Linked DNA regions of Caenorhabditis elegans. The protein of the gene in region 1 purifies or fractionates together with the protein of each later gene. This does not show direct contact. Each region holds a gene or a part of one and is shown on either strand. Other genes may lie near its edges.

The links.
Region 2: the proteins of par-5 (region 1) and daf-16 purify together in Caenorhabditis elegans (affinity purification with western blotting; 3 studies listed by BioGRID, with this or other methods). This does not show direct contact.

What each region holds. Positions count from the first base shown.
Region 1 is NC_003282.8:11,814,655-11,830,752, forward strand, and holds par-5 (14-3-3-like protein 1), read right to left. Parts: upstream 7,264-16,098; 5' UTR 7,244-7,263; coding exon 7,154-7,243; intron 7,106-7,153; coding exon 6,935-7,105; intron 6,870-6,934; coding exon 6,678-6,869; intron 6,631-6,677; coding exon 6,337-6,630; intron 6,235-6,336; 3' UTR 6,171-6,234; intron 6,127-6,170; 3' UTR 5,852-6,126; downstream 1-5,851. Other genes in the region: M117.1 (Major facilitator superfamily (MFS) profile domain-containing protein), read left to right, coding at 2,093-2,154, 2,203-2,365, 3,197-3,556, 3,605-3,913, 4,135-4,409, 4,460-4,566, 4,619-4,782; M117.3 (14-3-3 domain-containing protein), read left to right, coding at 8,862-8,948, 8,994-9,284; M117.6 (uncharacterized protein), read right to left, coding at 13,090-13,167, 13,218-13,317, 13,367-13,458. UniProt on the Caenorhabditis elegans protein: Required to modulate lifespan, in concert with hcf-1, acting redundantly with 14-3-3-like protein ftt-2.
Region 2 is NC_003279.8:10,742,201-10,759,217, reverse strand, and holds the start of daf-16 (Forkhead box protein O), read right to left. Parts: upstream 8,721-17,017; coding exon 8,709-8,720; intron 8,656-8,708; exon of another isoform or gene 8,647-8,655; coding exon 8,563-8,646; exon of another isoform or gene 8,513-8,562; intron 8,325-8,512; coding exon 8,234-8,324; intron 8,181-8,233; coding exon 8,030-8,180; intron 6,800-8,029; exon of another isoform or gene 6,661-6,799; intron 6,153-6,660; exon of another isoform or gene 6,006-6,152; intron 2,074-6,005; exon of another isoform or gene 2,015-2,073; intron 1-2,014. Other genes in the region: B0205.4 (L-Fucosyltransferase), read left to right, coding at 14,869-14,884, 14,951-15,088, 15,304-15,429, 15,471-15,673, 15,719-15,877, 16,131-16,242. UniProt on the Caenorhabditis elegans protein: Forkhead-type transcription factor. Binds to the promoters of genes that contain the daf-16/FOXO binding element (DBE), TTGTTTAC, in their regulatory region.

The DNA.
Region 1 (16,098 bases):
GCAAAAGCACCGTAAAAACCCCACACAGCTTCGGGTAGGTTTTCAGGCAACAGTCCCTGCCTGCTACCAATTTTCCTTGTAAGCTCTGATGTTGGGTGTCGGTGTGCATAAGTCATTTGATGAAAGATTGCCTTAAAATTAAAAAAAATTAAACATGAGAATAGGCAGGCGTAGGCCGCCTTGAAGTAAGGTAAGCAGGTAGACTTACCTGGTGAAGTTAAACTAGAAAACCTTCAAAGCTAGACTAGAATTATTTGTATAACCATCAATTGCAAATTTCTTCAAAATAATTTTTTATACTTAATTCAAGGTTACAATATCTCTAATTGAATATATTTTTTTGATACCGTATTCTCACGAAATGCGCTCAATTTTCCATTCTCCGGGAACTTTTGCATAGGCCGTTTTCAAAATTTGAAAGCGGAAGTACATTTTGGAGGAAAAATGAACACTTGAGGGAACTCGTTAGATTTTATGAGATAGCTTTTGCGTATTTCTTTTGAATACCCATTATTCTCTTTGTTCGTCTTATTTCAAACTGTTTTCTTTAGCACATTACGGGAATTTATTAGACGAACTTTGAATGCAAACAAATACATAACTACAGTAACCTCTCCAGATCCAAAACGAGATCCAAAATGAAGAAAAAAGCCAAAGTCAACTTTCCGTCACCTGCCAGTTTCATATGAAAAATGGCAAGCAATAAAATCTTATTCACTTCTTCTCGACAGAGCGCACTTTACACAATGGTATGGCTCCAGGACACAAAAAAATAACAGAAGGGAGCCCCGGCGCCTGCCATCCCATTTTTTGAACAAAAAGACGTAAAGTTGATAATTGGTCAATGAGAAAAGGCAACGATTGTGGAAAGCTTTATTCACCTTTTGAACTTTCTCCCTTAACATTCCTTTTCCGTGAGATATCTTCGTTCTTCAAATGTTTAATTATATGATAATGGGTACACAAACCAAAGTTCATATTCCAAAAACCTTCTAATTAAAAACTCCGAGATTTGTGCTCTCCGCGTTTACAATCTCGTAATTATTTGTAGGAAAGGTGTGTGGGTGATATTAGTATTAGTATTATTATTATGATCTAAACCTTTTTCTTCACCTGTACATATCTGAAAATCTGATCATAATGTGATTATTATGCCAGACATTTCCGCGCTGGACAGACAAAAATAACTCATTTTTCGCGGCTAATCAAAGTTTTTTTCCCACTGATTCAGTTTCAGATTATGTTTTCTGAAAGTCAAATAAGGTTATTAGATTGCTGCAGTAAGGGTTTATTGGTAGGCTGGCACGTTTTCCGGCCTAACTGCCTTCGTGCCTACCTACCGCCTATTAGACACATTTTAGTTTACACATTCCGTTTGTAGGCGACCTTTGAGGCAGATAAGCACTTTTACGCCTACTGTCTTTGGGATACTTTTTTTCAACACAATTTTAAGAAATTGCCAATTTCAGTGAAATTGTTTTAAACTATTATATATAAAAATTTGAAAACTCCAAATTTATTCAAAACAAAAAAAACGAATTGTCAGACAGAAAATAAAAATTATCTGAAAAGTTTTCACCTTAGAGTGTTCTAAAACAATTACTTCTCTAACGTATACTCTAACGTATCCTCTAACGTGATAAACGTATACCTGCCTCTTGCCTATAGGCAAGAGGCAGGTGAGAGGTGCCCCATCACGCCTCGACAGAACAAGTTTCTCCAGAAGTTGCCAACTAAAATCTGAATTTTTTCAATAAATTCCACATTCAAAACTAATATAACTTTATTAAATTCCAAGTCATTTTTTACCAGAGTTCATTTTTTAAAACTAATAAAAGTTTCGGTTCCTTTTGATGTTTCTTTTTTTTTTGCTCAATATAGGAAACGCCTCTGAGCATCAAAAGTCAACCGTAACAATAAGAATTGTTTTTTCTGGAAAGTATGAAACAAATGGTGATTCTATCCGTTCTTTTCCACTCGTCCGCTTTCCATTTTGTCCTGATGACAAAGTAAATGTAAAGGCGGCTTAAAATGTTATGCACTGCGACAAAAAATTCATACAAAATGTGATAAACTTTCAACTTTTTTTCAGAACAGTTCGGTGCCGAACACATCACCTATACTACTCGGAAACCTTGAGATGAGATGCCACAGGTATTATAGAATTTTAAACTATTTTCAGATTTAATAACTCAATTTCAGATTCCGATGGAATCTATCCATGAAGCATCGAATCAGATGGGTTATTTTTATACTCACATGGTTACAGTTAGGAAGTGTTATGAACTGTGTCGACGTCTTCTCTTTTTCAATGGTTTATATGGAAAAGAACTCGACAATTGCTGCAGAAGCAGGTCTAGATGACGTGAGTTTTTTGGGTTTTTTGAACGATTTTTTTTTGAAAGTTTTTTCTTCCTGGTGGCATGACCGCCCCCGTCTGTCGTCATGAGACCAGTAGAATAAAAAGACATTAGTAGAAACGGGGAAGAAAAATGAAAGAAAAATGGACCACAAAAAAGATATGATGGATTGAAATCGGGGCAGTGCCTTTCGATAGAAAGGTCAGTTGCTCTTAGAAAGTTTTGCAAGTGGGGGAAGAGAGGTCACGATAGATCAAGAGCTATTTTTGATTAGGTCAAGTCTTGCAACAGTTGCTCTGAGATTAAAGTTCTATACTTTTACGTTCTAGAAAATCCGCGCGGAGTATTTTTTTCGAACAATTTAAAGACGATGTTTTTAGGTGAACTTTGGTTTAAAAACGCAGGGCTTCCATGTAGGCGCCAAAACGCCTTCCTGACGGACGTTAAGGCGACCTCCGACTGCTTACCGCCTTTACCCATGTCTTCTACTAGAACACATCTTAACTTTTTCTTCATGCCGGCTTGAGGCAAGCCATGGAAGCCCTATATAAACGTAGTAGTACACTTTACAAGTTATTCAAAATCTGTGTCAACGTCGCAATATGCTGATCGAAATGTGCCTTGCCGTATAGCAACTTTTGGAGAATTTTAGAGAAACTTACATTTAGTCTTGAAATTTGTCAAATTATTCATCAGTGTTTTTCTAAATTTACATGAAAAGTTTCACTCAAAAATGGTCCGCATAACTCTGGTTCTTAGACATTAAATCAGGTCTTCTAGCCCATAAAACTCAGGCGTAACATTTTTGAACCTTAGCATCAACAATAAATTTTCAGATCTACATCTACACATTAGAAGAGAAGTCCAGTCTGATCTCAGCGATGGCAATTGGTTCACTCATTGGAATGTATCCTCAGAATGTGCTAATGCAAAAATATGGACCCCGTCTTGTCCTCACATTTGCCAGTTTGCTCTGTGCCGTCGTCACTGCCTTCATGCCATGGGCTCTTGACACGAACTACCATGTAGCACTTGTATTCAGGATATTCCAAGGAATCCTCTACTCTGCTGACTTTGGAGTTGTCGGATACGTGTGCTCAAAGTGGTCGCCTATCAAAGAAGTAGGAATGTCACTGGCTGCGTTGAGTGGATTCACTGCGGCAAGAGCTGTAATTCAGTTGCCACTGGCAGGATGGGTAGGTTATTGCACTGAGACGGTATATTTAAAATTCATAATATTTCAGACAACATCAAATGTTGGCTGGCGACCTATCTATTATATTCTCTCAATAATTCTCTTCATCTCAACAATCATCTGGTTCTTGTTCTATCGTGACGATCCGGAAGATCATTGCCTAATGACACATCACGAGCTTCAACACATTGGTGGAGGAACCAAGAGAGATAAGACAAAAAAGACTCCGTATCGAGAAGTTCTCACCGACAAGTCAGTTTGGGCCGTGTGGGTTGCCGGGTTCGCCGATATTTTTGCCAGTTTTGTATTTCTTGTATATGGTGCACAATACTATCAATACCTCGGAATGGATATTCAGGTAAATTTGTGTTCAGGCACGTCGGGGCAAACTTAATTTTCCACATCCAATGAACAATTCTATGACATTTGGTACCTGTAGCGACTACAATGGTTGAGAGCGTGGCGAGACCCACTGAGAAAAACAGCGTGTGCCTTTAAAGTGCCATGTCAAAATTTCACGAAATTGCAATAAAGACCGATATTGCACCGATATTTGCCCTCAATTTTGTGAATTTCCAGGCTAATGCATGGCTGAATTCCATGAAAGGTTATCTATTCATCGGTGTTCGAGTATTCGCCGGTATCGCGTCCGATCGTATTCGTACACTGCCGGAAAAGTCAAAGTTGCGGTTATTCAACACGATCTCATTGCAAGTACCCGCGTTTTTTCTCATGCTCGTAGTCTTGCTGCCACGCGAGCATCCATATCTACACGTCATCTGCATCACTTTCTATCAGGCTTCATTCGGGTTCAATTGTGGAGGATTCTATAAGGGCGCCGCTTTGATATCAAGGTAAGGCGATTTAAAAATTAATTTGAAATTTCAAGAATGAACATTTTCAGACAATTCTCTTACTTTGTCATCGGGTATATTCAATTGTTCAAATCGTTAGCAACACTGCTCGAACCTGTTCTTTTTTCTCTTCTTGTGCTTCCGGGAAGTGAAGATTGTAAGTATCAATTCATTCTCTTTCTAAACTAAACCTTTTTCAACACTTTCAGCTGAACTCTCATGGACCAGCTACTTCCTGATCCATGCTTTAACACTTACAGTAGCCAACACAGTCTATGTTCTCCTAGCTCGTTCAGAACCAGCCGACTTTGTGTTGAACGCTGAATTAGAGCTCAGCAAGCCTCAGCTTCCCTGCGAAACTTCAATCAATTAATTATTTAATAAATTATTCATATCAGTGTTCACATAATTGAAAAGAAAAGACGATTACCAGCTTATCCGGGTGTTCACTCAAATATGGATCTCGAATAAGACACGTGGTGTCAGGTTGCCCCATAACGGTATGATCTACAAAAATGCGGATAACTTTTTCTCAGAAAAATGTGACGTCAGTCTACGTCTCAACTCCCGCATATTTCGAAGTTCAAACCGACATGGGACATTCTGACACCACGTGATAATACTCATAAATAGTACTTTTTTGAACTTTGGGTTATTGAATTTAACTTATACGGAAAATAAAATGTAATTGCAATTGACATCTTTTTTCAACATGGGGCAACTGCGCAGTCCATAAAAATAGTCATTACATTTTAAAGATTTTAAATTGATTAAACAACGTGACATGTTTTTTCATCCACAACGCTGAAAATTGTTGGCTCAAAAGCTCGAAATCTGCCGAAAAGCACAAAACACATCCATCGTTATTCCGTATGATCACATACAATCGGCCACTTTGAAGATATATTGAAGAAAAATGTATTTCCAAATGTTTCTCAATCGGTCTCGTCATGATCTGTGAAAACACATGAAGTCTCCAGAATTAAGTTTTTTTCCGAAAATTATATTGCCCAGGAGCGAAATTTTGAGCTTTTTGCGCCAAAAGTACGGTACTTAGTCTCGACACGTCTAATATTTGTTGAACGCAAAAAGGTGTGAGTCTTTAAAGAGTACTGTAATTTTAAACTTCTATTGCTGCGGAATTTTTATCGATGTTTCATAGTTTTTCGACAAAGAATATATTTATTTTCAAAAGAACACTCAAATGTTACCATAAAACACTTAATTTTTAACGAATCGTGGAAGAAACTATCAAAAAATTTTCGGCAGCTTAAAGGCGCACACTTTTTCACATTTCATTTAATTTTTCGTGTTGAGACCTTCTAAGAGGTTAATGCAAATGTTTTATCCTATTTATGCTCCTTCATCGAAATCTGAAAATAAATTCCATTCCATTACTCGAAAAACTCCTGGAAAGTTGTGATGAAATTCGGACAACCGGAAAAGTTCACCAAACATTTATGTTCAAAAAGATCTAAAAATAAAGATCGGGGATAATAAGAGAAAAATGGAAGATGGGGGTTCATTATACTTTACAGCACATAATAATCATAGAACAATACGCCATTTTAGGAATGACAATAGTGACGGAGTGAATTACAGCGAAATAGAGCATGAAGAGAATTATGGCTTGGAGATCTAGAGCACTTGAAGACCGAATTTTCTTTCATGATGCTATTGCGCAGTGTTGTATGGAGTATTGGTGAATACGTTAAGTCTAAAACAAAAACGGTGATTAGGCAACTCTCTCGGCTAACGTACCGGAAATGTTGGAGGATAACTGAAAGTTGAAGAGATGCGAGGAAAGAGAACGGAGTTCAGCTCTCTGAAAACCGAAACTATTTTTTCGAAGCAAGATTTGATGTGAAAGGAAAAGAGGAAAAAGGTCAGCTTTATATAATGGCAATAAAACATTTTGAAATCGTACTTAGTTTCCAGCTTCCTGGTTTCCCTCCTGCTCTTGATCTTCAGCTCCAACGTCAGATGTCCAGAGAGTGAGATTGTCACGTAGAAGTTGCATGATCAAGGTCGAGTCCTTGTACGAATCCTCGTTCAACGTGTCGAGCTCAGCAATAGCATCATCGAAAGCCTGTTTCGCGAGTTGGCAAGCGTGCTCTGGAGTGTTCAAGATCTCGTAGTAGAAGACAGAGAAGTTGAGGGCAAGTCCAAGGCGAATTGGGTGGGTTGGCTGCATCTTGTCCTTAGCGATATCAAGAGCCTCCTGAAAGTCATGCCATTTACATCAAGAATTTAGTTATTTTCAAATACCTGGTAAGCCTTCTGGGACTTCTCAACAACGGCAGCGCGATCCTCTGAAGCGACCTCGGCGAGGTATCTGTAGTAATCTCCTTTCATCTTGAGATAGAAGACCTTCGACTCAGCAGCTCCAGCCTTGACAATGAGGAACTCGTCGAGGAGCTTGAGCACATCTTGGCAGATGTCGTTGAGTTCTTGCTCAACCTGAAATAATGTAAATAAGTTACTAAAATTCTTGAAATTAATAAAATCTTGCTTGGTGTAGTTACCTTGACGCGGTATTCCTTGGCGAGTTGTTGCTTCTTCTCGGATCCCTCGGTCTTTTGCTCAATGGAAGAGATAACTCTCCACGATGAACGGCGAGCTCCGACGACGTTTTTGTAGGCAACAGAGAGAAGGTTACGCTCTTCGTTGGAAAGCTCCTGTCCCTGCTCGGTCACCTGAAAAATAGTAAATTTGAAACCTCCGTAAATGATGTTTTATCTTACTTTCTTCATGGCGGCAGCCATATCATCGTATCGCTCGGCTTGTTCGGCAAGCTTGGCGCGTTGAACGAGCTCTTCCACGGTATCGGACATTTTTTCAGTGAGCAAGTCTTCTGAAACAAAATTTATAATGAAATATTGAGAACGAAAAGAGAAGAACATAGGCGAGAGTAATAATCGAAACGGAGAGCCCTAGAACATTCGAAACAGCCCGCACGACGTTTGAAAGAAGAAAAATCGATGGACAGCAGTGCCGGCCGATGAGAGAGCGCGTGCCGCCGCCGTCGCATGACAACAACTAAAGTGGGCAACGCACACTCACTCAATTTGTGTCTGTCCGTCTTTTTCTCTGGCGCACACATTCGCTCCTCATATATAGCATTGTCTACACAAAAAATTTCAGATTTTTTGGGCATTTGATAAGAAAACACGGGAATAGAAGGATGAATGGCAGTGGTGACAACGGGCGCAGCAAGCACACTAATCTTTCGGTGAGCACGTTACACAAAACTCAGGAGGTTTCGTCAGGACTTTTACCTGAACAACGCAAAAAAATAATTTTCGAGAATTGCTAAATCGTGTTGGTGGGGATTAGGATATAATTAAAGAAAAAATCACTATTTTGGGCCAACATTTGAAAATCGAGGAAGAAATCAGAGGAAATGATAGCTTTTAGACAGAAAATTGAGGGCAAGAGGAGCATAAAAGCGAGAAGGATAATTTTACAAAAAAAAATTGTGATGAAATGAGCATTGAATCGTTGAATTCTAGAAGAAACCAGCAACAAATTCGCGGAAATTCCGCGGTTCGAATACGTTTTTTCGCGGGGCTTCTTTTTTCGCGGCGAAATATCGCGCAGAGGGAATAGCTTGCGCCTTTAAAGAAAATGGCGGTTCATTCGAAAAAAAAAGGCTCTGCGTGTTAAAACATGTTATGAAACGACAGAAATTTCTTTTTTTCTAGAAACATGAAATTGGAGAACAGTAATCGGTTGGAAGTTCTCCGACCGCCGTCGTTCAAAGCATTATCAGTGTAACAGTGAATGCAGTTTAAATTGATAAGTTTTCCATGGAGAATCGAAAAAATTGGTTGCAAAATATATTCTTTTTACAAAGAAGATTGTAAGCAATTTTTAAAAATTTTTGAAAAACGTTTAAACGAAAAATGCATATAATATACGGTTGAATGAAGAAAAAGAAAAGATCGAGCAGCGAAATGAGCGAATCTTTGGGTTTCTACATGAAATCTGACGGAAAATGAATATTTAAATGAATCTACACAAAAAGCGTGCACTGTTCAGCGGAGCATTATTGCGCGGGAACATTTAACGTTTCGAAAATGCCTCGAGTTCGCAAATGAACATCGCGATTTCAAGCTGAAATATTTATAAAATCGGGGAAGGTTTTTTTTAAAATTTGTTGACATCGGGGGATTGGCCACGCCCATAGAACCGTGCGGAGGTTGCAAAATTTGATCGTGGGCGTGGCCCGTCCCACAGATTGGGTTCCCCCGATCCGAATCCCTCGCCGCCGTTAATCGTCCGATTCGTCTGGTCTCAAGAATAGTAGTATTTGAATTGCCGCGAAACCGTACTCCACGCCACTATTCATCAAACTATATCAAACTATATATCAAACTATTTTTGAACTGCCCCGCCTGTTTGGCTTGAGACTATGCGCTAAATGATGAAACTAAGGCTCTCTTCGGTGGCATGGTCGCCGACCATTTTAGGTATCTGGTCCAATACGACGATATCAACAGAGAAGAGCATGCACACAAGTCGCGAATCGCTTATCAGGTATTTGAATAACTAAATTCTTGATGTAAATGAAATGACTTTCAGGAGGCTCTTGGTATCGCTAAGGACAAGATGCAGCCAACTCACCCAATTCGCCTTGGACTTGCCCTCAATGCAAGCGCCTTAAACTTCGATGTCCTGAATCTTCCCAAAGAAGCCAACGAAATTGCACAGAGTGCTCTTGATAGTGCTCATCGCGAATTGGAGAAGATGAAGAGCTCACTGGATTCGTACGATATCTCGAACTTGAAACGTGCTCGTACACTTTACGATCTATTGAAGAGTACTCACGAGCAGCGTGTCGACGGAAAAGAAGGAGAAGAGGCTGATAATTGAAATTTTTCTGGATATTCAATTTTTTTTCGCAGTGAAAAAACATGTTTCTTATGATTTTTTCTTGAGAAAACAAGGGAATATGCTGAAACGCATTCATTTTTTGAAGTAGGAGCGAGTGATGGTGGTAATGAGGGTGGAGAGGACTTGAAGTCCAGGTCGTCTTCTTCGGTGGGTGGCGTCGGTTCGGGGCAAACCCTCATTTACTAGCGTGCTCCTTCACTTGAACGCTCAATCCCTAACGATGGCTCAATCCCTTTGATGCTCAGCATCATTATTGCTTATATTTTAAAAAAATACAGTTAGTCTGTCCGGACTCCGGAGTTTGTAGTGTATGCAGGCTTTGTAGTGTGCAAAGTTTTGGATTATCATTTACTATATATACAAAGCGCTTATTCCGTTTGTTCATAGTTTGTATGTAGTCTTTATAGTCTGCGAAGTTTTAGCTTCTGGAGGGATTGTGAGTTGGGGTTAGTGTACAGATATAATCGGAGTACTGTAGTATTACAATAGTGATACGGTAGGAGTACTGTATGATTACGGTAGTTTCAGAAAAATTACTTTTCAGCTCCAGAAGTCGGGGGCCGCGCCGGAGGTGCGGTCCACGGTTGGTAAAGGGATATTGGTTTAGGGTTAATGGAGTGACATGGTCGGGGTGCTGTAGTAGTACTGTAGAGGTACTGTAGAGGTACTGTAGGAGTACTGTAGGATTACTGTAGATTTTATACTGTAGACACATCGTGGTGAGACCTTCTGGCGAAAAATTCAAATTTCCTGAGAATAATTTTGGCGGGAAGTTTAAATTTTCTGAAAAAGTCATTTTAGCGGGAAATTCAAATTTTCTAAAAAACATTTTGGCGGGAAATTCAACTTTTCTGAAGAATACTTTTTTGGCGGGAAACTTAAATTTTCTGAATAAAAAACATTTTGGCGGGAAATTTAAATTTTCTGAAAAAAACTTTGGATGTTCAGAACACAATTTCAGTCAAAAACCTGAGGTATAGTTGAACATGTTCCAAAATCGAGTTCACTTTGGATGCTTACATCTCCGTGGAAAAAATTTTATGGCAAAGTTGTCAACTACAAAGTTGATTATTTTAATCTGAAGTACAACTTTTTAGTTGATGGTTTTTCATCAAAAAAAATTGGTGGTCGAGATAAAGTTGTGAGAAATGCAGCAGTATTGTATATACATCCCAGAATCACTTTGAGTTATTAATTCCTCAACTGAATAGATAACTAACTTTTTCACTAAATGGTTTTCATTAGAAAATCTAAAAAAAGACATCTAAAAAAACAGTGTCATTTGCTAAGTTTTGAGTGTACCTTCACCACTGTGAGCCCTAGTGGCAATTCAAAAATTTAATTTTGCGAATAAAAAAATTTCGAAAAAATATAATTTTAGAACAGTATCATTTTCCAAATCTTTTGGGGCAAATCATTTCTTCATATTTATCTTCCCATTTTCCCACCAGGGCTGGGACTTTTTCGAAATTCCATTTTCGAAAACGAAAACGAAAATTTTCGTTTTAAAACACGAAAACGAAAACGAAAACGAAAATGGCACAAACTGTACTTACGGTTTTTAGACCATATGTTGCCTCAAAAGCTTTTTTGTTGGCAAATACTTATTTAATTCTCTCTCATTGACTTACTTTGCTCATTAACTCACTTTTTCAAAAAAGATGCATATGTAAATAATATGATAGGACGTTTCTTTGTTCAGAGCTCCAAAGAATGTTGGGCTGCCTTACCGAAAGTATTGAATTTGGCTAGAAATTTATTCAAGCAGGAAATACAACTTTTTTCTGCAATATCTAATAGTAAGAAATTTTTGATGATACTTAAAAATTTTTGTTTTTTTTTTGTTTTGAAAACAATTTCCGATGTCGAAATTTTTTCAAACTTTTTATTCGAAAACTTTTCACAAATTACCATATATTCTTTATTAGTGCTGCATCTCCAGTAGTACTGCAGTCTCTAATAGTGCTGGATTCGAAAAGCGCCTGGAAATTAGTGTTACATGCAGCACTGATAGAGAATATACGGTAATCAGATATTAGTCAAAAAGTGCCTAATTTGTTATTTCTTTAATTAAAATGTTCAAAACACGATTTCAGATTAAAAATTGAGCTACAGTAGAATCCTTATTTTCGAAAAAGGCATTAAGTTCTACATCCTATATATAACTCAGCGGAAAAAAGTATGTTTTAATGACCAATTAACAAATCGTTTGAACAAGGAAACGTCCTGTCATAAAATGAATGAATCTATTTTGACGTAAAAGAGTCGTTTAATTTTTATCCAAAACTGAGAACTGTTGCATTTTTTGTTCTTAAAGTTGATCTTCAGTAATAAGTTTGAGGAGAAAATAATTGATTTTTCAATACTATCCACACCGGAGAGCAAAATTTCGGCGATAGTTCCAAAAAAAAATGAGAAAAAACCAAGTTTAAATAAAGTCGTTCTATTTTCGTTTTTCGAACACTTTCGAAAACGAAAACGAAAAAATTCGTTTTCGTCAAAACCCCGAAAATAACGAAAAAACGAAAACGCGAAAACGAAAAAGTCCCTTTCCCACTCCATTTCAAACTTTTTTATTGCATTTTTTTCTCGTCCTATTTTCTGTCGATTTTTGCCCATTTTTTCCCAACCGTTCCCCGCGTTCTCCTCCTTCTCTTCCTCTTTTCTTCCTAGCTCTCTTCTGCAAAATCTCCAATTTCATTGTTTTTTTTCGAGGAATTCGCACCCATACTCCCGAATATTACTATCATTAATTTTTTGTTTTGCTTTTTGAAACAGAAATATTATCAAAATATACTGTCATGTGAAACGTGGCTTATTTTTTATTTTGTTTGTTATTTAAGCTCCTCCCATTTTTTTAAATAAACTAATCAATGAAAATTTCAACGAAATGTCAGGAATGGGAGGAGCTTGAATAAAAAACAAAATAAAAAATAAGCCACGTTCCACATGACAGTTTATACAGGGTGCGCCAAAAGTATGGTAACACGTGAAGCGCTCTTTTACATGAGCTTTTCGCGCGGCTGCCAAGTCATACGTACATTTTTCTAACGATTACTGATAGCTGAATAAATTTCCTTCAATTTGACCCAAAATTTGTAATGTTTCCCCATAAGGTGCGATCTTAATCACCTCGGCAATCTGATGAGCCCTTTGGCCGAAACGGTGTTTTGACACGCGGCACTTCCCACACAAATACACATCCCACGCACGCCAATAATTTTCCGATGTTTAATTTTTTATGTTAAATTTAAAGTTAAAGAAGTTTGGGAAATCCCGCAATTCCTAGTCTTTTATAGGTTGCTTGTTTGAAAACTTAATATTCGTTAGGTATGCATGTGCTTCTCTTTTTCTTTCTTTTGGGTTACGTCAACTGAGATAAATCGAACCACGCAGGCGCCGCTCCAAACCACGCAGGCAACGCGTACAAACCACGCTCAAGAATGCCAGTCCCTGCGTGGTTTCAACGCGTTGCCTGCGTGGTTTGGAGGCGACGCCTGCGTGGTCTTGCAGCAATGGCAGTTCGCAGCCCGCTCCTTCCCCTTCCTACCGTTTAACCAACTAAAACGCAAATTACGATTGTTTTTCAAAAATATTGTTTATTTATTAACTAAAAAACAAAAAAAACACCAAAAAAGTCACGAAATGTACAGAAAACTGACTATTGTGATGAAATTCCTAATAAAATCAAACAAAAAACGAATTGATGAATAATTACAATATTCTAACAACGAAAATCTCAAAAATAACAACAAAAAAAGGGTGGGAAGCAAAATAAAGTCCATTAGGCAGTTGTTTTCGTCCCAGTGATCAGTGCGATGGTGTGTCCTTTTCCTGGCTCATCTTTTTCCGTGCGTTCAAGCTGCAATATTATTGATTTTTGGAAATACAAATTGATAGAAGGGTGTTTACCATTTTTGATCCACCTGTCGGGAGAAAACATCGCCAAAATCCGCACTCGGGAACTGTCCTTCGAATCCGGCTACAGCATGTAGAATATTGTAAAAAACGCCTGAAAATTTTTGTTTAAAAAAATATGGCCAAGAATAGCTTACTGATACCTGAAAACCTGAAAACAATTATTGAGTTTCATGAAGACATTGAAAATTAATATAAAAGTGCTTTTTGCAAGAAAAAAAACGGAAAATTCCATTAAATTAGGAAAAAAAAATAGAAGAAAAAGTTGTTCAAGAGGAGTACGCAGCCATTGGCCTAGGAATCCCGCGCGTGGCTGAGCGTTGGCTGCCTGCATGGTATGTAGGCGTCACCTGCGTGGTTTTGCAGCCACTGCCAATAGCTGCACACCGTCAAGTCGCCTGCGTGGTTCTTAGGCGTCACCTGCGTGCTTTTGGTTGCATGCGTGGTCTTGACGCGTTGCCTGCGTGGTGGGCAGTCACCTGCGTGGTTTGGAGCGGTGCCTGCGTGGTTCGATTTATCTGAGAATGACGGTTTTTTCAGAAAGATAGTAGTTGCATTCTACCAAAACACGGACTTGTTCCAATTGGTCATCTTAATTTGTTGCTTCCTCCTCCACTATTCAATTGTTTGTTTGATATGTTGATTTTTGTTTGTGATTGATTGTTTTTTGAAATTTTGAATATTTGAGAAGAAATAAATAAACTTTTTTCTCTTACTTTTCCAAGTCTTAGTCCTATATAGGTCCTATGAACCAATTGAAAAATACAATTGAATTGATTTATTGTTAGTTGAACAGGTCTCACAATAATTTGTATGTACTTATTTCTGGAAATGCAGAGTAGAAAGAGCAGGTGTGTCTCGATAGGAATCTAAGGCATAGGGTCAATCTGACAGGGATGGCTATACACAGTTAATGGCCAATGTAGCCATTCACAACGTCAAATCGATACTAAACCATTTGCTCTTTTTATCCAATAATAGTCTTTGTTACTCTTAAAAAATCCCTCTCTCTTTCTCTGTCTGCTAGTGTATTTTCAGTTATTTTTCAGACTAACTTGAACAAATATTTTCAGTTCTACCTGCGACTCCAAAATCATGGTTCTATCTAACTTCCCACTTCTGTTGCTACCCGAAAACGCTAAAAAACATGTTCTACAAACAATGGACACTGTTTTTTGTAAGTTTCACAAACATTTTTATCATTTTTTCGGTCTGAACATTTTGGAACTTACTGATTAAGCTTTTGGATGAATTTAGATTTTTCGCAATTCTTATCTCAACAAAATCTTAAGTTGCTCCGGATTTTCTTTCTCTGGATTTTCCGTCCCCAGTTGTCCAGAATTTAGTACCACCCACTTTTTCGTTTTTTTTTTTTTGAGTTTTTGAGTAATTTTTATCGTGCTCAGCCTGACTTTTTTGTTTTAAATTGAATATTGGAGTCCCTTTTTAGCATTTTCAAGCTAAAAACCTACAAGTGACAGTCCATTTTTGAATTTGTTTATCAAATAGTTTGAATGTTTAGACTACCCTGATTCAAAAAAATTATTAAAACTTAAAGTTTTGATTTTTGCAGACTCTCACTTTCATTTTGCTCGAAAAGAACAAAGAAGATTGTACAGTCGTTGAAGATAAAGTTTCAAAAATTTGAAATCACATTTGCTCACACAAATAAAATTCGCATAATTTTCCGTACGTCGCGCGTTTTACTGGATCTTGTGCGTTGTGACGAGTATTCAAAGCAAAATCAAGATATTTTTCAAATTGATGTCAGAGCCTCCGAGGAAAGAAATAACGTCCAAGAAAATAGACGAAGAATGTATAAACAAAGATGGGAAAAGATGTTTTTTACTTTGGACTACTTGATGTGGCATTATTCGATATTCTCAACACATCAAAAATTGAAGTGTTTTTCATCTTTATGAACCGTGATTGTCGCATTTTCGAAAATCTACCTCAGACATTTTGGGAACGGAATGTCAGTCTTATTTCCTTGACTACTCCATATTCAATTGTTTTCTGGGATTATTTCTATAATGAAAGCATTATTGAAAACCAGTTATCCAAGGTTGACAAATTACAGCTTTTGCAAAAGCTGTATCTAACCTCACAACCAGGCCACAAAATAATAATTCAAAATTTCAAATTGCTCAACGCAAGTCAGTGTTTTTTGTGCAATATCACATTGAACGATTTGATACTAAATAACAGTAGTTTTGCATACTTGGAATATATGAAGTTTAACGAGAAAGACATCAGCATTTTTCTAAAACATTGGATTAATGGATCAAATGAAAGATTGATTCATTTGTTTTTATCAGGAAAACCCGCATTTAATGACAGAGAATTGTCCGTCAAAACTATTCTCAAAGGAATTGATTATGAGAGAGCTTCATCTACCCGAACAATGTCACATTTGCCTAGCTCATTAAAAGATTTTGTTGAGTATTTCCCAAACACACTCGAAAATGGCTTCGACATTACAAATAAGGAGGGAACTGCTGCAACAGTCACTATAGAAGAATCTATACCAAACAAGATGCATGTTTCCTTGACTGTCTGGGATGTATAAATTTACAAATGCTTTCTTATTTATTACTATATCGCTTAACGGAACGTCTGCAACAATTTCTATACTAATAACTCGAGACATTCTACTTTTTAACCCAAAATTTTTTATCTTTGAAGCATGTTTCTTCTTTCTTTTGTTTTTAAATCATGTAAATTTATTCTGTACGTCTTCCTTCCAACTATGCGTTGTTCTTTTTATTTTCCTTCCTTAATATTTCCGTTGTTCCTTAATATTTCCATTAATCTTTTGAGAGAATAATAAATATGTAAGATCAGAGCCACCGTATCTAAAAGAAGCGATGAAAAT
Region 2 (17,017 bases), on another chromosome or scaffold:
CTCCCAGAGCTCTTCGAACGGCTCTAAAAGGGGTAAGAAAAAGGTCTGGAAGTGGTGGTGGGGGAGGGAGGGAGATACGGGGGGCAATCGTCCAAAAAAAGAGAGAAAAAACAGAAAGGAACGGATGGAGGAATGAGAGAGAGGTTGTTGTTGTTGAAAGTGTCTTTGTGCACACAACAACAACAACAAATCAAAAATATGCGTGTTCATTTTCACAGAAAATTAAATAGGGTTAACTGTCTTTGTGCCAAATCTGAAACATTTTCAGCAATGGATCAATCATAGATCAATGTACGTGAACTTCATCAATTTTTCAGCACAAGTACAGGTTACCTTATTCTGCTTGTCCTCGTCGAACAACGTAATGGACTGATTGAGAAATAACTTTTGGTCCTTTTCAACATTCCTTGGAAACAGAACTTGCGGGAAAGATCAGAAATTAGATCGATTGATTTGGAGGTAATCAGATGATAGACTGAATGATGGAAGCCAAGGACAAGAACGATGAAAAAAAAAGAGTAGTGTTCTTTTGATGAAGATAAAAAATGAAACCAATCGAAGAAGGTTGATCGCTATTCGAATTTCATTCGATACTCTGCGGCGATTCTCTTCACATTTTACTGCTGATAAAAACTCGTCTTCTAGTTGGTTGTAAAATAAATGATAAGAGCACAGAAAAAGTGATGGAGAAAAGACATAATTTAGCAAAAGTGAAAGGAGATCACGATTTTAAGAAATGTGCACTTTTAAAATTACTGTCGTTATCCGAAAATAAATGAAAATATCCAAAAGTTCCCTAGAACACGATGTCTTTAGTAAAATTGAAAGGAATTCAGCTGAAGACAGTGAGTGGACAGGGAAACACTGAATGATTAAGGAATCGCAAAAAGTTAATTCGAAATAAGTGAAAATCGAATGACATTCGCGTGACATTGCACTTTTGATTGTAAACGATCAGAAAATCCCCAATAGAGAGAAATCAGAGAAAAGGCAGAGAAACTGTCATCGAAAAAAAAAATGGAAGGAGGGAATTGAGTGAGAGTATGATCATTAAGGCGACAAGTGAAGCGACATAGACATTCGTTTTTTTGATAAGAATGATAAGAGCGCAGGACAAGACGAAAAAGATGTAGAATAAGGCGAAGAATAGAGGAAGAAGCAGCGTTTAGAGAGTTCGAAGTGGTCACTTCGCTTCGCTTCGAATTATGTGCACACTTTGATTAGTGAGCCCTGGTCATTGATTATCAACTGATGAAGATTATTTCCAGATTTTCAGGGAAATGCCAAAAAAGTGACTGTTTCAGTAAAATGTTCTTCGCATTAATTTAGAGCATAAAATCTATATCCTACAGTAACCTTGGATGCCGTAAACTCAAAATGGGAGAAAACGACCGACATACGCAGAGGTAAAAAGGGATGACAAGAAGAAACCCGAGCATTTCCAATTTCAATCGAGGTTTTGAAGATTTTCAAACCACAAATTTTTCTAACAAAGTTCTACCAAATTGATAAATTTAGATCAAAATGGATTCATAATCTGATAGCTCATATAATATTGACTCAACTAAGGATTAGCCAAGTAGAGGGTGGGGGATTTGTTGCATGAGAAGATTTTTCAGAACATTTCAGAGGATTTGGAGGAAAAAGTCGAGGAGATATAAGCCCTGATATTGAACTAATGCGCTTTGAGCAGAAAATGAGATTTACGCTAATAGGATTGCATTAAATGGTACGTGCACGAGAAATGTAGGAAAAAAGAAGAAAAAGCGAAGATCCAAAACCTAAAAATCACTGTGCTATATGGAATTTCTCCAAATTTTTTCGTCGTCCTGTGGGGAGAAGAGTGAGATCAAACTGCGGTGGCGGGGGTCGCGCGCCGCGCTATGGTCACACTGACATTGTGCGGTAAAAATCGCGAGTAGAATGGGGGAAAAAACGAAGAAGTGTTCGACTGACTGACACAAGAAGAGAAAAAAAAGAGAACCGCGGCGACAAGGGATAGAGAGAGGGAGACGGGGCGCCGGGCGGCCGTTAGGCCATTGGCGTGGCAAATGCAACACGGAGAAAACGATGGAGTAGTTAGAGGAGCGGCGGCGGCGGCATGGAATGGGCAGAGAACTGTCGAATAGTATAGAGAAATTGGAGTCGCAGCGTGAGAGAAATGGTTGGAAAATGGAAAGGAGAGGCACACGAGACATGGGGCGCGGCGTCGGCAATGTAGAAGATGAAAATTTAGGATGAATGAATGGATGAGAAGGACAGAATTCTGAATTTCCTTTCCAAAAATCATTCGATCTCACGGTCAGTTTCATTATTAGATTTGATGAAAAAAGGTTTTTTCCAGGTGAAATTGTTTCTGAGAAATCTCAAAATACAGGTGGTATTGCATGACATCTCCACCTCCCATGAGCGTGCCAAACTCTTGAAAATTCAAATGCCTCTAGGAAATATAAGGGTAAAAGTGCATCTGAATCAACAAGAAACACAAGCTTTCCAAGAAAAAGAGATGCTCAAGTTGAATTCAAATTCTTCTCGTTTCCCTAAAAGACTAGTCTCATAACTAATTACACTCCTCTTCCTCTTTTGCTCCAACGTCTTCTTCATCCTCATTCTGCCTCCTACTCTTCCGTCGTCGGCTCTCTTCCAAACGCCCTCACTTTCCCAGATTACTGGGACACGACGTCTTCATCACTCTACGCTGCTTCGTTAACTTAAAGAAGAGCACTAGAAAAAAGAAAATGAAGAAGAATAAGCAGCAGTGGCAAGAATAAGAAGTGAGGAAATGAGTGAAGAGTGTTGCTCTTTTTTTTTCTCACTTTACTTACTGTGATTAGCCCCTCGTATGGAGATTCTTGAGTTGATGAAGCAGAGGAAGATCATCTGATTCCAGTGACCATCCATGATGAACAACTTGTTCCGGAGATGCTCAATGATCTCTTTTGGATCTTCGAGTTTTAAGGCATCGCCTAGTGTTTTAGAGATCATGCAAAGGATTATCTCAAAATGAGCTGCAAATGCGGCTCAAAAGTTTCAATGAAATAACGGAGGAACGTATGAGGGCTGTAGAGATACAGTAATCGGATACTTTAAATTCCGTTTCCATTAGGATCTCAAGTCTAGAACCGCCGCCGCTGAATGACCTCAAAGACAGACAAGACTATCTAAAAGGTAAGAAAAATTGTTGGGAAAAAAGTGAAGAACTTTACTGCAATGTCATTTGATGGACACTGCTACCAGTAAAAACAAGTTCCATCTCTCTATCTCTCTCCTCATTCATTCCTTCTTTTCCATCGTCCTTTTCAAGTATTGCGTCGTCCACGGAGGGGTGCGAACGAATCGAAGTTAAGAATCAGATCTTTTCTATTCGTTCCGACAGGCAATGTGGGTGGCGGCGGCGGCAAAAAGTTTGCAGTTACCATAAAGATTTATGCCAGATCGTCGAGTAGTAGAAAGGGAAGCGGGAAGAGAGAAGATCTTTCGATTATCAGCAGGTGACCCATTAAATATTGTTTTACGAGGGGAGGTATTGCAGTTTTAGTTTTACGAGTACGGTACTTGAAAGTTCTGGTAACAGATGCTCAAATTTCGAAGCCGTAAACTTATCTAACACCGAACACCACAATAATTGAAAGGCTCAAAAACAAATGAACCCAATCATTTGGTTTCTATTCGTGTGAGCGGTCCTTCTTCGTTTCAGTTAGTTGATGGTAATCCGACACCTCTGGCTTCTGAAGTCTGCACACACACACACAATCGTCAAAACAACTCTATTCGTTTACTCAATTTCAGTTTCTCTGTTTCCAATTCGCCACAAAAGACAAGAAAAACGACGAGAATGAGGAACAAATGTAGAGAATAGTGGGAGACACCAGACTATTCCAGGAAATGAAATTCACCAAAGATTCGAGGAAAATCAAATGAACTTTCTTTTTTTTTCGTAGGTGACCTTTTTTGTGTACATAATCTAGATGATGGAACCATTCACATGAAAAACAAAAAAGCGAAGAGCAACAGAACCATGGCATTTGAAATGCAATACTTCCACCATTTTCAGATGGAATGGATAGTGTGTGTGACTCATGACTCACATCGTCTGGAATTCCAATCAGCTCACTCTTTTTTTCCAGCTCTATCCGTCTCGGAATCTCCAGAATCGAAAATTCGAGATGTGAGAAAGAGTGAAGAGGAACAGACATTTCAGCTGCTCATGTGACATGGGACCTCTAGAAAAGCAAGGGCGTCAAGCGTTAACGGCGTCTCAAAGTGTTCACTTGGTTTCCTAGAGTATACCAAAAGATGGGCTCTGGGGTCTGAGCTTTTTAAACTTTCAAGAAGCTCGAATAAAAATAGAAGAAAGTGCGTTGACTGACGAACAACGAAAAGCTACATGTTTCATAGAACATGATGGTGTGGAATGGATTTCTCATAGAATGAAAATATATTGAAAACTCGATGTGATCATACTCATCAGAAGGAAGGAAGAAGCATGAGCAACATGAAGTAGATGATCTTAATCCTTTCATCCTCTCATCATTAACGTCATCATAGATTTCACGTTGACATTAATCAGTGGGGAAAAGCTGGAAGGAGTGAATGGAAGATTACGGAGAAAGCTTATAACATCAGAAGAACGTGGGAGTCACGTGGTTCCGTGAACTATCAACTTTTTAAGCTCGATGAGTTTCAGATAATCCAATTTACAGAATCCTCAAAGAAGCGAACACTAAGGTGATAAACATTTTGTTAATCTTTATCCGATGTGCCCATCATCAAATCTGTTGAATGATTTGAGCAAAAAAAAGACGAATCACATGCTCATTTCATCAGTGTTAGAAAATAAGGTGATCGTTGAGAGACGAAGGCAATCGGAGAAATAGTTGAGCACAGATCGGAACCGATAGCATTGATAGATCTGTGTGTGTGGGATCCAAGAGGTTTAGGGCTCAGTGAGCAGTAAGAAGGATATTGTTGAAACAACTGATAAAGAAGATTACAGTATTCTAGGATACATTTTCATATAATTTTCTTCTTATCTCAGATGGCTAGATGGAAAATTCGAGACTAGAAACTTGAAGAAGACTGATAAAACTATTCCTTCTTATATTCTCGAGGCACGTAGACATCTAGACACTCGGCAAAAAAACCTCCAGGGAGGAAAAAAGTACATCGGTATTCCCATTTGGTCTCGTTTTTCGATTCTCTTCACAAAAATCGAGAGGAGACATCGCGAATCGAACACGGGGGAAACCGGTTTTCATTTGCAGAGACAAAAAAGGGAAAGAGATAACGATGGCGACGACGACAGGGGAAAAATGTTGCGAGAGTAGCGATGTTGGACAAGTTGCTGCAATATTTTGCACTGAATCGCGAAAAAATTTGGTTAGGATTTCCCTTTTTGTGATGAATTCATTATATGAATAACGTCATTGGAAGACTTTCCGACAAAAGAAATTTTTTTTTTGAAAAAAAAAGCGTTCCAAAATTCCGAAAAAAGCGAACTTCATGTTCCCCGTTTTCACTTTTATTGGGTTGTTTTTCAGACAGACACATGCCAATACCATTTGTGTGTAAAGTGATGGGTTAAAAAGTCAACAATGATTGCGGGGAATTTTTTCGTTGTTGTTGGTTTCAACAATATTTGAATTCCAAAAAAAAAGGACCAAAAACTATAAGAGCAATGTATAACAAGAGTTTCATCGGAGTAACAAGAAACGGGAGTGTGCGGGGAGAAACAGAGAGAGGGCAATAACAAAAGTGCAAAACCAAGAGAGAGTCTAGTTCAAGTGCGTTATTAGTTAGCAGAAACCTAAAGATTTTTCGTGGGAGGGGCTTTTTACAGTAATTTCAGATTATCACATCATCTAGTTTACGCCTAGAACTCTGACCTTTGAAACTGTTTTTTTAATAATTTATTTTCAAAACAGAATATACAACGTCACTTGCCGTTTTTGTTCTTTTTTGATTTTTTACATGAGAAAGAAAAATCGGTGTCAACGCGTCTGACTGACTTTTATCTTTTGCAGCAGGCAATTGATAAAGACGCCTGGCAATGTATGATGAAATGATCAAAGACTGTCAGTATGTTGACAGTCAAAAGGAGCTTGATTATATAGCGCAATGGAGTGGGAAAGATTTCGTGAGAGTACAAAGAACAAATAACTCAATGGTAATTCCGATAAGCTAGATCTAACTGATATTTTTGGCCACCAGATTTTCAGGTCGACTAAAAAAAAGTGAGGTCTCGATCAAATTTCACTGAAAATCAGAGCGTAGGAAGGAAGAAGGACTAAAGGCCAAAACAAACACTTTCACTTTCACCAGAGAGAGGAGGCAGCAAAAAAAATCACAGACAGACCGTGAGTAGAACACACTACTTTTTTTCCTTTTTTTTCGACGCGAGTCTATCCAGACAACGAGACACTGAAATCCAATGGGACGTGTATAGTAGGAAGGCTGAGTGGAATGACAATTAAATTAAAGTACCGTACTGTGTGAAAATGGTCGATATTGTAGAGACTCTTAATTCAAAAAAAATTGGCTTGGGGGCACAAGATCGCCAAAAAAAATATTTTCGATATGATATTCCCATATTTAGAATCAACACTTAATTTTAAGATGTAGAGTTAGTTAAAAATTCCAAATATAAAAAAAGCGACTTTCAGGCGTTGCCTGAAACTTTTCAAGCTTTTTTAATAAAGGTATATGATTTTCCTACATTTCTGTTTTAATTTTTGATTCAAAAAATTTGAAATCATACAGGAATTACCAGTTCTGCCAAAAACCTCCTTATTTCGAAAATTTGAATTTTCTAAAATGGAACCATAATAGGTACTTCGTTTCTGTTCTCTGATTTTCGACCTATCGTCTGTTCTAATCAAAAACCCCGCTACAACAGTGTGCAAAAAGTGCACTTTTCCGTTCTCAAATACCACTTGCTCTCTCCCTTTCTTTCAAATGTTTGCCATTTTGTGCTTCCTTCCCGTAGAGAGAAGAACAGCTGATGTGACAGAACAGAGAGAGAGAGACAGAGAGACTCTGTCTGGCAATACAGTGAGGGAGCAAACGCGTGACAGTTTTCGACCTCTGAACGTCACACCGTATACAATGTTGCACACAATGGTGAGTAATTGTTGAGACGGGCGACGACGGTTTTTAAAAGAAATGGGGTTACTGTAGAGAGAAATTATTTTTAGAACGAAAATACGATTTCTGTCTTTAAAAAAGTTGAATCAGAAACTCATGATATTAAAGTTTGCATCAAATCTAATTTCCAAGCAATCAAAAGAGAAAAGAGAAAATAGAAAACCTAATCACCAGTTGTTTGCAAACTGCAACTCCGCGAGAAAAAAAAAGAGAGAAAAGAGTCAAAAGATCGGGGAAACCCCTTTAAATTCTATTTGCCTCTCCTCCTCACATGCACGTGAATTTCCCGTGTGCTTAGTGGACCAACAGCTGACAATAGGCTTGTTGGCCTATAAAAGACGAAAAAGTGTTAAATGATTAGAAACAAAAAACAACTAAAACAGTGATGACATCAAAGGGTTTTCCCTTAAACAAATCTCGAGGTCAGCAACAATGAGAGAAATCACTTTTGATTGTGCCAACCGATCGGAAATAAAATGGAGAAATTGGAAGAGTAACGAAAAAAAGAAATTTCGATGATCAAAAATCAGAGCGAATGTGACAGATAAAAGATGACGCGACACGACCACAAGAATTGAAAAATCAGAAACAGTAAAAGGTCAGCTGAGACCTAAAATTGAGAAAAATTCAAGGCCATTCGGCATATATATATATATTTCTATATATTTTTTTGTTCTTTTTTAATTTAAACATTTAAAATTTTGAAATTTTGAAATTTTAAAACCGAGGCTTGTTCACAAGCCAAAACTCTTTCAAAAATTGATAAAAAGGGCAAAAATCATCAACTTTTATAGCGTTTGTCCTTTTTCCACGAAACAATGCTTTTAGTGCAATTCGACTTTTATGAACCTTCACAAACCACCTAAAAATCTTAAATTTGGCGTACCTAGTTCTTCCGCTGTCAACAGTCTCTAAAGATGTGTGGAAATACGGAGAGAACGAGCATTTTTCGCGAAGAAATTGTTGAGAATACTGGGTTACTCCGCCAAAAGAAGCCGAACGCTCTTGTTGATGGAGGTCGAGATTGAAGAAATCATCTGAAAAAAAAACAAATAAAATTGGAATTTACAACTTTAAATCACGAATTTACCGTCAAAATCAGTGGAAAAACTCATTCCGGAATCAGGCCTTGCCGGTTCGAGATTGTGCAGTGTGATGTCAGATGGTAGCGGCGAATCGAGCTGAAAACTGGGCAAATTAGACGAAAAAAGCGCGCTTTTTTGATTTTCAACTGTAAAAGCTGTGTAAACTTCCACGATTTCGCACAAAATCGGGTTCAAAACAACTATTTTTAGCAGCGAAATGAAGAAAAATAGGGAAAAATGATTGGAAAAAAATTTCGAAAATTTGAAATTTAAACTGCGAGTATACGGTAGTTCTCGATGTGTGTGCAAGGTGTTTGCGTATGCGGCGCCATACCTCACGACAGTTCCACGCTTGCATGTCCTGTGAGAATTTTTGCAGAAAATTTCGGCACTTCGAGCAATGTAATGAAGACTTTTGCTGCAAATTTTAGTTTGATTTTCAATTTAGAATCATAATTATAAGCAAAAAATGTTAAAAACCTCGAGTTGCATCATTAAAATACAGATAGAAATTGAATAGAAGTTACAATGAGGAAATTAATTTCAAATGAAACGTTTTTATTTTGGATAATTTTGAAATCTTAACTAAAAATGAACATTTCCGACGTCTCGAACTGATAAAAAGAGAGAGAGAAGAAGCTTATTTTGACATAAAATGTGTATAGAGGAAGATTTTTTTGCAAAAAAAAAGTTTCTTATCACAATCCATTTTTGCCCACTTTTCCACCATTTTTTCCATCACATGTTCTCGTCAAATGATGGAAAAGTAAACCGATATGTCTTTCCTTGAGAAATAATATGAAGAAAAAAAAAATAGAAAAGAGGACATTGGGAATGCTTTTTTTTCTCGTTGGTTGGCGGCCGGCGACAGAGGTTTCAGAGATCAACTTCTGAGCGACCCCATGCGAGAGTTGTTTACGAGAAAGTGCAAAACTGTTTTATGAACTTTGAGACGGAAAAGAAAAAGGGGAAACGAAAAAAAGAAGATATAAAGCGAAAAAGCAGCAAGCTCGCCCCAAACGAACTCACTATTAGGAATAAAACATGAGTTTTTTAAAGAGAGGAAATCGTGAGAGAAGATTTTGGTAAAAAAATGATTTCAAGAAAAAAAAATCAGAGTTCGTAAATCTACACTGTGCAAACACCGGAGTTTACGAAAAAGTACAGAAAATATGAAGGTTTCAAATTCAAATTTTTTAATTAAAGAAAGGCGAAAATTTCTTTGAGCTGGAAAAACTTTGGAGAATATATTATATTTTTTCGAAAAAAAAAATATTTTTCTAAAAGTATATAATATTAATTTTGGTTTTTTTTTTCTTTTTTTTTGAGGAAAAATAACAGTTTCTTACGAATTTTTTTCATAAATATAGCAGAAATGTAATTAAAATTCGATTTTTTTTTGTAAATTTCCTTGAAATTCTGTCAATTTTCCTTCTTTTTTTTTGAAGAAACACCTTTTTCTAAACATGTCGTTAACAATAGTTCCAAAAAATTGGATTTTTCTCGTAAAACTTCGAAGCACTTTGGTTATTACGGGAACACAAAGTTTTTAGAATGCGTATTGCAAAACATATTTTACGCGCAAAATATCTCGTAGCGAAAACATGACTACTGTAGCGCTTGTGTCGATTTACGGGCTCGATCTTCGAGATGAATTTTATTAAATCAAAGGATTTCGAACATCGAGCACGTAAATCGACATAAGCGTTAGAGTAGTCAAGTTTTCGCTACGAGACATTCTGCGCGTCAAATATGTTGTGAAATACGCATTCTCACAAGTTTGTGTTCCCGTAATAGAGTTGCCGATTTTTTTTAAAAGTTTTCTAATCTCCAATTTTTGGCAATTTTTTTGCTTTTCAAAGAAATTTTTTTTTCTTTTTTTTCTTTTTTTTTTTTTTTCATAATAAAATTGCGCGTAAAATTAGATGCACTGACTCCACCCCCACCAATAGATCAAACTATACGCGCTAAGTCTTTTCAATCTTTCTAAACAATCTTTTGCTGCATTTTGTAAATAACTGAAAAAGAGCAGAAAACATGCAAAACATAGAAAACACTCATGTTTTTCACAAAAAAATAACTTTTCAAAAAACACGACGAAAACTATTTTCAATTTGCTACGTTCTATTTTCAATTGAAAACGATCAAAAAGTGTCTCTTACATAATCATCTGACGGTTATTTTCGTGGATCATCATCAAAACCCACCTGTCTTTTTCTTCTTCTCCGGGCACAGGAGAAGAAGAGGAAAAGACTTACTGAATTGTGTGTTAAAGTACACTAGACAGAGAAACAAGTCAACAAAAACGGGCGGAGCCACACATAGATGCCTCGTCATTCACGTGCGACCCTTCTTGCGCCCCGCTCGCTCTCTTTCTCCAAAAAGTGATCGCTTAAAATAAGAGATCACAATTGTGGCGGCGGGCGCCAATGTTCCCGCCGGTTGCCCTGTGATCTCCGAAATTCAAACCATGAAACTCTTTTCCATTCTTTTTTGTGTATGTCTGTTTCAAATTGTTAACAGAAAATGTGATAAGGTATCGGTGTATGATCCACTAGAAGGGTCTCCCCATATGAATATAATGTGAACCTATGTTTTTTTGCAAATTTAGTTTGAATTGTTGGGGAATGGGTATCATGTGCCTTTTCGTCTGCAAAATGGGTCTAGACGAATCGAAAAAAGAAGAGAGATACACTCTCTAGCAGATGGGCCTTCCCCCCACTGAATTTCAAATTTAGCAGGTGACCGTTGAGATGTACTGGGCCCGTTTTTTTTTCGAATAGAGGAAGTGAGGGATGGCTTTCGGGAGATAAACAGATGTTTTCACTACGGTGATGCACATTTGCTCTACCGATATTACGGAAACAAACAATTCTATTAATGCGTATTGCGCAATATATTTGACGCGCAAAATATCTCGTAGCGAAAATCACTGTAAATGACTACTGTAGCTCTTGTGTCGATTTACGGGCTCGATTTTCAAATTTAAATTTAAAAAATTTCGAAGGAAAGTGAAAAAAAAAGTTTGTTCTCGCAGTTCGAAAATATATTTATTTCAAAAATCGAGCCCGTAAATCGACACAAAGCGCTACAGTAGGTATATAAAGGGTTACTGTAGTTTTCGCTATGAGATATTTTGCGCGTCAAATTTGCTGCATTCTCAGAATTTAGTGTTTCCGTAATAAAAAAACGAGAGAAATAGGGGAAAATTTAAAGATATGCATGAAGTACGGTAGTTGAAAATTTTTGAGCATGTCAGGACCGAAAAGTTTAAGAAATCTTTTCTCTTATTAACTAGAGTTCCAGAAAAAAATTTTTTTAATGAAACTATACTGTAGTTTTCATAAAACTACTGTAAAACTGTCAACTGGCAAGACCACCACGGAAGAGCCAAGATATTGCACTAAAAGGATTTTTCTATTATGTTGTGAAACTTGAAAGAAAGAGATTCTGGTCACTGGTGTTTGAGGCTTGAACACAATTTTTGCAACAAAAATCTCCTGCTCACCAAGAGAACGATTCGTAAAAGAATTGAAATGTTCAGTTCTTGAAAAAATTTTCAGAGAAAAAGAAATGGAATCGGGAGAGTCAACCCTCTTATCAACTAGAAATGAATTGCAAAAGAGACAAATCGGGAATTCGAAAATAAGTTTGAAACATATTTTTTGCGTCAACACTTTAATTCGAAAGTTCACATCGTTATCACTTTTCTAGGGGCACTTTTCGAGCCGTCTCTCTTTTTGAATTTCTATCACCAAAGGTAATTGCTTTGGAGAATTTGAATTTTAAGTTTATCGTGACGAGACCCATTATTTTACCTTTTTTGGAAGAATTTATATTAGAATTTAAAAAAACCTCCAAAATCCCAAAAATTCTGAACATTGGCCAAGCACATTAATGTCGTCTTGGGGTCAGAGATTTTAGTGTGCTCAAAAATTGAGAATATCTCTGTCATTTTTTTCTTGAGCTCTGGTTTCTCAAGAGAACATTAAATTATAAAAAATTGCGTGGTTAATATGTATCACGAGAATTGCTTCTTTTATGGATTCGAAACATTTTCTTGTGATCTTTAAGCTACGGCATTTAATATAGTAAGTTTATGAAATCATTGGTCATCTTAAAACATTTTTGAAAACAGGAAAAAAATTTAAAATTATCTGCCTGCCACGTGCCTACTGCAAAGTGTATGCCTGAATAATTTTTTGCAGTTCTACTATTTCCTATGAAATCAATAAGAAACTATAGTCTTCTTTATACAATTTCTTGGAAATCAAATATTTTTCTCCTACTTTTTATGTTTTCCAATGTCCGACCGCGCCGGCCAAAAAAGATGCACTTTGCCGTAGAATGAAAAATCAGAAAATTGGCCTTGACAAATAAAATCTGCTGGCGGCGGAGAATCTATGGGGTCAGCGAGTTTATGAGTACGGCAGAATGCGGCAAGAAAACAAGAATAATGTCAGAAAGTACACTGCAATTGGAACAAGGCCGCAAAATTATTGTATTTTCATGTAAACAAAAGTTTGAGAAAGATGATTTTGTTTGAATTTGAGTGAAAAATGGGGTGATTGGTAGCAGGGGCATATTTTCGGCAGAAGTACAAAAGTACCTATTTCAGTAAAATTTATATAAAACTGTCGAAAGAGGTCTGGTCAATCTGAAAATAATATTTATTTTTGTTAAAAACTCGAAAAGTACCTTGCCTAAAAGTTGGCGTTAAATTTATTCCGGCAAACGGCAACTTTAAACTTGAAAATTTATTTCAAAACCTTTTTTTTGGAGGTAGAGTTGGGTTTTCGTTTCAAAAAAAAATTTGAAAATGTTTTATTCACTGTTAAAAAGTGACAATTGCTCAGTTTTTGCTACTCATAATTTTGGAAGTCGACCAAAAAAAATTTCCTACACTTTTAATACTGTTATTTATTTTGTTTTAATTACTAGTATTAAAACATTCAAAGTTTTGGCAGTTTGCCAAAACTTTGACCGGAAATTATGAAAAATCTAAGTTCTTTGAAGTATAATAGACAAAAGCCCTACTGGGTCTACTCCACCTTTAAAATTAAATTCTGAAATTCCTCTAAAAATTTTTAAACCCAAAAAATAAACTAAATTGAAATCTATTTTAAATCGTCAAGAACCAGTAAAACCGTCATCACTCGAGAAATACCAAAAACCAAAAATTTCCAGTCAAAAGCCACACTTTGAATTTGAAATCGAAGGAGCAAGAGGGCAAAACAAATAAACAGTTCAGTATATTGTCACTGGCATCTCTCATTTCTTCCTCTTCTTCTTCTCAGTATTTACTTATTTTGAGACATTTTTTTGTGTACCCCTCCCAGAAACAGACACCTCGCCCTCTACCACCATCACAGACTATTTTTGTTTTTTGACCGCGTTACTATAAAATAAATAAATAAAGACATCTGGGTCTTGGCACGAAACTGGGAAGAAAAAAACCTTGGCTCTTTGTTTTTTCATACGAAAACTTTCACTTTACTGTTGCGGAAGGCAAACATATGGGAAGAGGAGACCGATGGGGATTCGATTTCAATTTCAGGAAATAACAATTTATTTTGGTTTCAATCAGTCTGGGAATACTATGAGAGCTGTGGAACAATTGTACATTCCATCCGGTGAGGCGAACTGGTGGCGCCTTTCGCCTGCCTCACTTCCACAATGTTAATGGAGACGCATTCTGGGCGATGGAAAAGGTCTTGTTGTTTAATAAATATTGTAGAGTTGGTGGGAAAATTTCAAAAAAAATGAATCAATCACCTAAATTTATAATTTAATTCTTATATTTTTTGAAATTGGAATACGGTAGTAATTTTATCTCTTTGTAGATAGGCGCTGTGAAGAGGGACAAAAACTCAATTTACCGTACTCCTATCTACATTCTACAACAATTTTTGAAGGAAAAATAAATGGGCGAGGATTTCCAGCTCTCAAATCTGAATAGTACATTTACTCCTGAAATTTAATAGGTTTTTTAATGTTGTAGAACAATTGATTTTATTTGCCTTCTTACAAATGTTTATTTGTTGCAGTTGTCCTCAAAAACTAACATGGCTAATATTGAAAAATTCTTACAGAAAAATAATAATTTTTCTCCAAAAAAACATTTTTGAAAAAATTGAAGAAACATTAAATTATAAAACTTATAAAAGTTATAAAACTATTTAGTATTTTATTATGTTTTTAAAACAAAAAAATTTAATAATTATAACCAGTATTTTTTCTTTATTGGATTTCAGACATTTAAAGTTAATTCGGTGTGTTTCCAGTTTAAGAGAGTAGGCTTTTAAAAAAAAATTCTAAAAAAATATTAATGATATTATTTAATAAAAACCAAAATCATTCCCATACAATTGTCTTTCTTTTTAAAAAAAACATTTCCATCTCGAATGACTGTTTTTCAGCTTTCCAAAATTTTAAGAGATATCTCTAATCAATACACAAGATTATGTTATCACCTCGAAACCTTTTCTTTTGTTCATCTAAATGTACTGATCCATATGACGGAAAACAAGAGAAATGACCTAGAAAAACTCTCACTCTTACTTATTTTCCCCTTTTTCGTTCTACGTCTCCAGAACTTCTACGATAATAAGTGACAAAAATTCATAACTCTCCAATTAATATGACTAGATTTTCAGGTAATTATATTGATTAAAAAATAGATTCTTAAAGTATATATACAAATTTAATTGTCTATGTTTCAGTAACTCGCTCCTTGTATCATTCAATATTTATTGGATTATGTGTCTACATTCTATTTCTATTCAATTTATCAAAAACACGGTTGACACCTGAAGAAAGGCCAGCTACGTACATGAAGAAAAATGTATTTTATCAATCAGGTGAGTACTCTTTTAAATGGAGTTAGTAACCCGGAAGGGAACTGTGTCGGATTCATAATATTCAAAAATGTTAAAGCTAGGTTATTAATTTGCGCGGAAATTCAAAAATTACAAAAAATTGCAACTGAAATTTTTTTTAATTAAGAAAAGGAGTGCTTTGGAGTTGGAGTGCTGCTCGCAATGGTTCTGAAAATATTTTAATTTTTAATTTTCAGGAAACGAAGCAACTTTGGACAACTGTCCATGGCCCATATCAAATGTTGAAAATGTTATAAATAGAGTTTCAGTTTTGGAGAATTCCGGAAAGAGATATATTTTCTCAGATTTCGGTTATAGTCAAGGTAAGTTGAAAGTTCTAGAATCACAATCAAAAACTTTTAAGGAATTGGAAATTTGATGTTCCAAGTGGCTGGTCTTTTATCAATTGCTAGAGAAACTGGGTCAATACTTTTAATTCCATCAACAACTACTCTCCGAAGAGCATTTGATTTTGAAACGACTTTTAATGATTCAATACAGTTTGTTGGAGAGGATCTGAGTAGACAGCTAGCAGAAGACCTAAATGCATCAAAAATTACTTTGACTGTAAGCTTACATTTTTTAAGATTTCCAAAAATTAGACATTTTCAGAGCTGCTGTGCCTACCGTAATCTTAGTACCATACTTTTCAATGATTCTCGAATAATTGAAAGAATAGATGGATATTTCCAAAATTTCCGTTATTTCCATCCGGATTCTCAGAAAATTGTTAAGAAACTATTCACTTTTATGGATCCTGTAAGAAAAAGGGTTAGTTTTTGGAATATAATATACTGGAATATACACCCAACAAATCACCGAAAAAAACCGGAAAAATCGACAGTTTCAATTTTCAGTTTTGTGACTTTCCAACTACGGGTAAATTTTTAAACTTTATGTAAAAAATAATTTACGGTTATTCAATTTTTCCTGAAAAATCATCTGGATAAAAGGCGGAAGGTAGGTCGTGAGGCGCCCCAGGACCATCTCGCCCAGATAGAATATTTAAATTCAATTTTTAAAGGTGGACGAATTTCTGGAAAATGTTGGAATTTCTTTGACAGTCCGAAATGCAAGAGTTATCGAGACAAATGTGGCAAATGATGATCAAGCTTTGGAATTACCTGAGGAAGATGGTACGTTTCTATTTTATTTTGCAAATAATTTTTAACTAAGCCACATGTTCTCAAAAAACAATGGTAGAAGTTATTTCAAAAGGTGGTAATTAATTAAGGCGCAGGATATCAAATTTTATATTTTCTGGGTAAGAGCCGTTTTTAAGATGATAGTCCTCATTCTTTTCAGTAAAAATATAGTAGGAGAAATACAAGAAAATTCGATGTAAAATGGAAAAAAAATTCAAGATATGGCGGAGCCGAATTTCAGCTTTTTTGCGATCACCATTTTTATTGTTAAAAACTTTCTTTTGCATATTTGTGAAAGAGAGTTAAAACTTAAATTAAACAACACAACCAAACAATATATCGATTGATTCAAATTTGGAGTATTTTTCCCCGATTTTTTTTTGTGATGTCGTGCTTAATGTTGATAGTTACGTTACCATGTAATGTTCTACATAATCTAAAATAGACACCGCCAAATTCTTGGCTATTCTTAAATTTTTTAAGTCGACAGTTTCTGTACTCAACTTTTTTTGTTTATTGTACTTTCCATTATTTCTCAGTGGAACAGGAGGCGACAAAGTAACAGATAACTTTTAAGTCTTCAATGTAGGCATAAAAGAACCTGCCTACTTCATGCCTACATGCCTGCCTACATGTAAATTACATGCGAACGTTAAAAAATAAACTTTCGCTTTTGGTATCTGCTCATTGTGGATTTAAAAAAAAAGATAAATTTCTTATTCCAACTACATAGTTTATTGGAAGCTAATTTTATAACGTTCGCATA